Linked DNA regions of Tribolium castaneum. The protein of the gene in region 1 purifies or fractionates together with the protein of each later gene. This does not show direct contact. Links are inferred from orthologs where the notes say so. Each region holds a gene or a part of one and is shown on either strand. Other genes may lie near its edges.

What was found.
Region 2: the proteins of timeout (region 1) and TIMELESS-interacting protein purify together in Homo sapiens (affinity purification with western blotting; 6 studies listed by BioGRID and IntAct, counting the BioPlex papers as one, with this or other methods). This does not show direct contact. The link is inferred for Tribolium castaneum from reciprocal best matches to the Homo sapiens genes TIMELESS and TIPIN.

The regions. Positions count from the first base shown.
Region 1 is NC_087397.1:5,982,224-5,986,045, forward strand, and holds part of timeout (protein timeless homolog), read left to right. Parts: intron 1-2,816; coding exon 2,817-2,870; intron 2,871-2,917; coding exon 2,918-2,981; intron 2,982-3,033; coding exon 3,034-3,235; intron 3,236-3,286; coding exon 3,287-3,429; intron 3,430-3,822. UniProt on the Homo sapiens protein: Plays an important role in the control of DNA replication, maintenance of replication fork stability, maintenance of genome stability throughout normal DNA replication, DNA repair and in the regulation of the circadian clock.
Region 2 is NC_087396.1:10,975,292-10,979,846, reverse strand, and holds the start of TIMELESS-interacting protein, read left to right. Parts: upstream 1-1,522; 5' UTR 1,523-1,594; coding exon 1,595-1,978; intron 1,979-2,032; coding exon 2,033-2,602; 3' UTR 2,603-2,630; exon of another isoform or gene 2,631-2,927; coding exon of another isoform or gene 2,928-3,366; intron 3,367-3,578; coding exon of another isoform or gene 3,579-3,919; intron 3,920-3,971; coding exon of another isoform or gene 3,972-4,106; exon of another isoform or gene 4,107-4,250; intron 4,251-4,506; exon of another isoform or gene 4,507-4,555. Other genes in the region: NSFL1 cofactor p47, read left to right, coding at 1-45, 91-364, 425-624, 670-889; Herp (homocysteine-responsive endoplasmic reticulum-resident ubiquitin-like domain member 2 protein), read right to left, coding at 2,928-3,366, 3,579-3,919, 3,972-4,106.

The DNA.
Region 1 (3,822 bases):
ATTTTTTTTTGAAAGGGATGAAATGGGGTGTTCAAATTTGAAAAAAAACGTCATTTTATAAGAAAATTTAAAGTTATATTCATGAAAATTGGTATTTAGGCCTTACGTTAAAAATGAAGAACGTGTTCAGGATTTTCGAAAAATCAATCCCTAAGGGGGTTAAATGGGGTGTTAGAGTTTATTTGAAAATCCATAATTTTAGAAATTATTTGGTACTTAGGATTTCGTTTAAAGATGAAAAACGCAATATAAATATAAACTTTTTTAATTTTTTAACTTATATTCATGAGAATTTTTATTTGGGCTATAGACTAAAAATAAAAAACGCGTTTTTTATGATTTTTAGAAATTCCACTCTCAAGGGGATAATTATACAAATCCATCATTTTTGAAATTATATTCGTGAGAATTGGTATCTAGACTCGGTGAAAAATGAAGAAACATGTGTTTTATGATTTTTAGAAATTTCACCCCCTAAGAGGGTTAAATTTTAAAATCACGAGTATATTCTAAAAAATTGATATTTAAGCTTTCGGTTAAAAATGAAGACGCGTGTTTCTGGATTTTTCGAAGTTTTACCTCCCAAGGGGCTTGAATATAAAAATACGTAAATTCTTACCATGAAAACAGGTATTTGCTAAAAAAAAACGTGTGTTAAAGATTTGTTGGAAATTCCACCCCCAAGGGGATTGAATGTAAAAATCCTTTAAAGAAACGTGTAGTTCAGGATTTTTAGAACTTCCACTCCTATGTGGGTTGAATACGAAAATCCGTCATTTTTGAAATTATATTCATGAAAACTGGTATTTGGGCTTTTAGTTAAAAATGAAGAAACATTTGTTTTGTGGATTTTTGGTTAAATGTTAAATTTTGGTCAAAATTTAAATGAAAATCCATCATTTGTAAAGATAGTATCCATGAATAAATTATTATAGTATTGGTATATTGGGATTTTCGGGTTAAAAGAAAGAAACACGTGTTTTAGGATTTTTGGAAATTCTATCCCCAAGAGTGTTAAATAAAAAAAATATATTCATATAGCTACATTTGTGTAAATTGGTATTTCTAATGTTTTTGGAAATTTGATTCCAATGGGACTAAGTAGGGAATAAAAGTGTGTACGAAAATTTCTTAATTTTTAAGTTATACAGGGTGTTCGCCAAGATGAGACATTACTTTTAACATTTGATATTATACATTGTTCTTAGAAATTTTTCCCTCAAACACCTTAATAAAATATTGATGATAAAGAAGATACGACCGTAATTACTTTTTTTAATATTGAAGTCACGACCGTAATTACTTTTTTTTAATATTGAAGTCGATCTTAATTAAATTTGCAAATTTACAGAAAAAAATCATAGGTTTTGATCAAAAAAACTTAGTCGTATGGACTTACTTTTGCAGTAATAACAAGCTTACAGATATGTTGCTATATAAGAATAAAAGTAACATAATTGAAAATCTGATGTCTTTAGTAACAAGAAGATAGAATTGTTTAAAGGGGCAGATAAACATTAAAAAAATAAAATAAAAATTTATTTTAACACTTATAAAACTTACAAAATATTTTTTTTTGCAACAAGCATTTCTGAATTTTTCTGAGAAAAAACGGATTATTTATTTACATTTAACAAAAGGTTCCGCATTGGTTTGAGTTAACGTAATCATAAAACTCATAAATAAAGAGTAAATATTTCTCTGTAAACGCCGTTGGTGAATTTTATTAGGTATAAGTGACAATTCCATCCAAATAACACTAAAAAGCTTTTATTTAAAAACAACAACAAAAAATGATCAAAAATAATAGCATATATGATTTGCCAAAACGAAAAATTTCAAAAATATTTAGATGTGTATGGACTCTGTAATTCTAATGAAATGACTCGGCTGTTTGGTGTTCCTGTAGTTAAAAAAAATTAAAACAGCTTTGCTCATTTATACAAAAAAAAGGTTTCATTATTAATTACAATATTCAGAACTACAATAATAAGCGTTGGAAGATGGAATTCCATCATTAACTAGATAAAAAAAAAACATTTATGATCGGTGTGAATTAAAATTTACGCAGACGAAGTCGTAAGCAATTGACAAAATGAAAAATAATAATAATAAATTGCATTTTTCTGGTAATTTGACCTAGATTTTGCTGGTTTGTGGATTGTTGACGTTGCTATTTGTCGAATCTCGTCCGTATTTCTATGCAGATTAGGCAATCACCATGTGCCGAATTTGCGTTAGCGTTTGAACTGAATGGTGCAATAATTAGTCGGATGTCGAGGCACATGCTCGCAGGTGACCGCTTGCAACAATGCACATAATTACCGAAACTAATTGAGCCGTTATAAACGCATTATTGGCACGGCTGCGATACGCTTGCTGCTTGCGAGCGAAATTTGTATCTCGTTAATCCCGACTCGGGCTCTTTTATTTTCTTATCTCTGGCATTAGCGTTAAATTTAATCAACTTGCTGTTGCATGACAATAGCTCCCGGGAGACTTTTACGGCTAGGTGCGAACTGAAATGAAGCTATTTTTGTAAAATATGACGCCATCTCGATTGCAATGGTCCGAAAACCGCATTAGCATGAAACGTCGTTTCTAATGCCGCTTTTTAATCTGGATTTATCTTGAAATATTCATAAACCAGGGGCGGTTAAGTGGATAACCGGAGAGACATTGTAATGTCGGACTAAATTGCTAACAGTCAGCAAAAGGCGTAATTAGTTTAAATTACGTAAGAGACTCAAGTAGTGAAAGATAACAAGATTAAATGCGACGCTGGTATAAACATTTCTTACCCCAATTTTTTACAGACGACGAGCCGACGCCTACCATCGAGGAGCAGCCGATTTACGACGAAAACGACGGTGAGTTTTACTCAGACTGGAAGTAAGTACAAATAACTTTCTTCCAGAGGAGGAAGACGAGGAGGCGGGCTATGGCGAAGTCAATTTCAAATTCACCGATTTTTCGAAACGGTACTTTCGCAATTAATTAATTTTTCTAGTTTAATCGGAAAATTAATTCTAGCTTGGCTCACCCTCGAATAGTGCGAGCGTGTGGCCTAGCTTTGCGCGACTTTGAGTCAAATTCCGTGAACACAAATCACTGCATCATTAAGTTGCTCCATCGCATCGCTTTCGATTGTAAACTGTACGTAATGATTTTTCAAGTATCAATTTTCCGGACTTTTCAGAAGATTTATGCCAATAAGGATTTTCCCCAATATCGTGTAGGTAACGGTCCCGGGATTTAAACCTCGATTAACTTGAGTGAATTGCAGGAACTTGTGAAGTTTGCGACTTATATTATTCGGCAATTTATAAAAATTACGGAGATTAATAAGAAAGTTTATATGGAAAGTTTGTTCTTCAAGAATACGAATGAGGCGTACGAGATCGAGCATGGATATGGGACTACGAAAAAGTAAGTTTTTTCACGATCCTAATACGCCGGTTATTCGGACGCTCGTTTGAATAGATATTTCGATTTACTAGCGAATTTTTCGGTGTGACAGACACGCAAATTGCAATGTTTGCACCGACACGGACGCGAAATTAATTAACTAAATATTGCGACTGATTCAGGGCCCAATGACCAAATTCTATCTCTTCGTTGTCCTCGCACAAAAATATTCATGCAGAGATTAACCGATATATTTATTTTTGAGCGACAAAAACCAGTGTTGCGAAGCTCGGCCAAACTTTCATCATTCATCGCTCTTTATTAGAGCAAAAAGATCAAATTTTCACATCGTTTTGACTGGTATAAGTAATTAATTACACTGTCCACAATTTGTCCCATTTTTCTCTCTTCTAG
Region 2 (4,555 bases), on another chromosome or scaffold:
CAAGAAAAAAGACATTGTCTCAGGGATGTTTAAATCCGTGCAAAAGTAAATTCGTCCTTATGACTATCGTGAAATAACAAGGAATTGCAGACATGGGGTAGAGATAGTTGATCAGAAACCAGGGGGCTCGAAACTTTTCAAGGGCAAGGGGTACAAGTTGGGGCAAACGGCTGATGATTCTGAGGAGGTTGAGGGGGCTGCTGGGCCGGCGCCTTCACCTGAAGTCACTTTAAAGCTCTGGAAGGACGGTTTTACGGTGAATGAGGGAGAGCTGAGGGCTTACACTGATCCTGCAAATACTGAGTTTTTGCAAAGTATTCAGAGGGGCGAGATTCCGCAAGAGCTGCGACAAGGCAATACTGAGGTAATTATTTGTTGTGTAAACATTGTTTCAAATTCAATTTTATATAATTAAATTGTTCAGGTTTATCTAGCAATGGAGGACCACAGAATGGAATCTTTCAAACAGGTTGATAAAGGGGTTAAGCCGTTTACAGGACAGGGGTACACTTTAGGTAGCCCTGCGCCCCCTGTGGTCGGAGCACAAAGAGAAGAGGATAAACCAGCCAATGAAGAACGTGCTAAACAAGCTTTAAAACTAGATTCTTCCCAGCCAACGACAAAGTATGACTTTTCATATTAATTTTGTATGTTATTAATTTTTTTCAGTATCCAAATTCGCTTATCTGACGGTTCAAGACTTGTTGCCCAATTTAATCACACTCATACTGTGGGAGACGTGCGTCAGTACATCTTAACAGCCAGACCCCAGTACCAAACAAGAAATTTCAATCTACTGTCAGGGTATCCATCCCGAATTTTGGAAGATTCTCAATCTCTAGCTGAAGGAAATTTGCTTAATTCTGCTATTATGCAAAAATTAATTTAAGTTATTTGTGAAATTCCCTTCATGATTGAAACATAATTTATTAGGACAATTTTTCTTTTGATAATGTACTATTACAAACATTAGATATTAAAATTTCAAAAGTATTAACTGCGTTTTTTTAAAACCCGAGGTGTGGGGTGTTGTCCTCTGAAAAGTTTCGGTTGAATTCACATTCTGGCGCGCAAGTCAGTTGTTAGTCACTGTATGAGTTTTTGGTATTTTTTAAACGATTAATTATTTAATTAATAACAAACATGCCAAGCAAGGACTACGAAGAGCCAAAGAAACAAGTCGACGAAATGCCACAACCCGAAAATCCTCAAGTTCGGGAGCTCGACTTAACGGATAAGTTAAATAAAAACCTCCTGCAATCATTTCTGTCACGCTTGAACCAGTCTGATGAGGGCTTGAAAAAATTTATGGTGCCAAACACTAATTCTAATAGTGATAATAATTTTGAATAAAGGATTAATTAAAAATATTAAAAATTAAAAAACCTCCTGCAATCATTTCTGTCACGCTTGAACCAGTCTGATGAGGGCTTGAAAAAATTTATGGTGCCAAACACTAATTCTAATAGTGATAATAATTTTGAATAAAGGATTAATTAAAAATATATCGTATTCTTTCTGTAACCTAACCTACAACTCCTATAAGTGTCAGAAACCTGTCAGAAAAGGGCGCGAAAACTTAGCGTTTGCAAAAATGAGTTCATACGAAGATTCAGACGTGGAAATTACCGAAGAACTTGGTGTAGAGCAATTTGAAGAAAATGCAGAGCAGACGGAAGAAACCCCCGCTGAGAATAACGAAGCCGAAGCAGCCCCAAGTAAACCGGTGAAAGCGAAACGAGTTATACGAAATCCCCAACCTAAACTAAACGCGGAAAGACTGAAAGGGCCCCGTGGTCTGGCAGCTCTAGAATCACACTTCGATCGCGTCAAATACAAGGGGAAAGGTTACGAAGAGCAAGACTTGGGTGTGATTTTAAAAACTTACGAGTACTGGTGCCACCGCTTGTTTCCCAAGTACCCGTTTGATGAATGTATCGCCAAAATTGAAGCACTAGGATCCAAAAAACCTGTTGTTGTAAGTACAGTTAGCTTTGTCAATGCGTGTTAACATCTTGCGATCTTTTTTTAGACTCATATTAAAAGAATCAGATATGATTTGTTGGTTGAAGATCCCCCAATTATAAACAACGATGACAGTGATCCTGAACCTGAAGCACCAGCAGAAAGTCAGTTTGACGCTGTTGCTGGTTTGCCTGGAATTACACAACCTAATGACGAACCTGAATTAACTGAAGAACAGTTGGAAATGATCAAAATAAATAGAGAAAGAGCTGCAAGAATCAGGAAGGAAAGGATGACACGCGGTATAAATGAATCGCAAGGCTCTGAAATTGTCGCAACTACAGCCAGTGAAGGAAATGATCTACCAATGGCAAGTCAGGATGAATTTCCAGATGATCTAGAAATGGAAGAAATAGGACAGTCGGTAGATGCTTTACCAATGCCAAGTGAAGATGATTTTCCCAGTGATCAAGAAGAAGAACTGACTAGACAGGAACCGATTATTTCAAGCGCGGAAAACGCACACCCAACTCAAGATGATTTATTTGAAAAAGAAAATGAGCAAAACTTTGAGGAAAATTCTTCCCAAAGCCAAGTCGGTTCGCAGCCCGCCAGTGAAAATTTGTTGGAGGATTAAGATTTAAATGAGCCGGAAACTGCTTAAGGTAGGATTAGTAGTTGCAGTTATTTAAAAAAACCTTTATTGGAATTTTGGTTAAGTTACAACAAATTCTTTTATAAATAAAAATATATTTAGATACTTATTATAAAATCACAATTCTTTCTAAAGCTATAATATGAAATATGTACATTAAAAGCTATACAACAAGTAATATAAACATTTTAATGATTTGGTATTGTGTTTACATTGTAATATCAGCAGATCTGCTCAAACTAAACTCACTCCAATTTGGAAACCTTGTCTAAAATTTGCTTAAACTTTCAACGAACGCATTCCCAAATTAAACAGCATTTGGAATTTCTGGAATCAAGGAAGCAAAGAACGTCGCGAAAAATGTCCAAACCACCATCAACCGCGACGGCTGTTGCTCTTCTTGTGGCACAGGCTCGGGGGGTACAACATTGTTGTTATTATTGTTGTTATTGTTAATATTCCTGAAGAACCCGATTTGGTACAAGTAAAGAGTGAACCCGAGCAACAGAACAAACACGAAACGCAAAGGGCTCGAGTAAAAATACACCACACTGAAAAGGACCAGCACTCTGCTCAGCATGTAAAAGACATCCAACCAGTCCCTTTCGGGGTTCTCCGGATCCCTTTGCACGGCGGCGGCCGGGGCCTGGGCGGCTGCCTGCTCCGGGGCGTTCTGCTGGGGCTGTGGGTCGGGCGCGGCCGTGGGCTGTGCGGGGGCGGCGCCGGTCCCGTAAGAGTTTGCAGCCCTAGGCAGAAAAATCGTAAGACTGATAAGTTATCAGTATCACATTGCCGGACATTCTAGAAGCTTTGATTAAATTTCTGATCATTCGCTTCCGAGGGGCGGTCAAGCTAACAAATGACCATTAATTTTATTGTAGTAATGGAAATGGTATGTTTAAAGTGGCAAAGGTCGGGCACCAGAGTTATCACCAAGGTCATGGAAAAGTTTGCTTACAATTGCATGTACTGGGTCATGTATTGGAGATATGTTTGTTGCATCCATGCCATTTGCATGGCGTACTGGTTGGGGTCCATGGTGGGGTTGTTGCCCCATGGCATGTTAGGAACGTTCTGTTCTGGCGCGCTGTTGGTCGGTGTGACGGGGGGCTGGGGGGTCGTCATAGCGGGCTGCGGGGGCTGTCTGGGCTCCTGTCTTGGTGTTTTCGTGTGTTTTGGGGTGCACACTAGATGCACGGTGTGGGTTTCCTGGCCGTCGTACTGCCGCAAGACATCTTTGAGTGTGACCGAGTCGTTTAAGAGCTGGCCTGAATAGATCAATTTTTGCTCGTGTTTGGGCTGGAATGGGGGTTATTGAGACGGGGTCAAGGTTTCGCAGTGAAATACTCACCGGTTTGCTGGGATAGACTTCGGACAGGTGCTGTTTTAATTTATTTATAGTCCATGACAGCTCGCATTTGATTGTTTGATCTTCAATTTGTTGATTAGGCGCTTTCACTATCAATGTGATTGGTAATGTTTCCATGTCTTCCTTATTTAAATCCACTTTGGCAGTTGTTTATTCACACAATCAAAGATTTATTTACAAACTGGCACTCGAAATTATATTATTTTCCAGGCTATCTACACGATTTTAACATAATATTTATCGCTGTCAAGAGCGACAGTATTTGGCGGTTTGCGATTGGCTCGGCGCGGTCATGTGACCGATTATGAGTGGGGGGGGGGCAAGAAAAGGAGGTCTATTCAAGTATTCATGATTATGCCCACCTTCGTAAAAATCATTCAGAAATTCGATTTTCCCGTTTTAAACGATTAGAGGCACATATTCGGTTTCTAATAACAATATCCCAGTTGCTGGTAGTCGTGGTTGTATGTCTTTTTTTTTCATGGATAATAAAACTGTTTAAAAAAAACGATTTAGACATCGTGAAAAATCTCTATTTTTACACCTGGACAAATAACACATTTCAT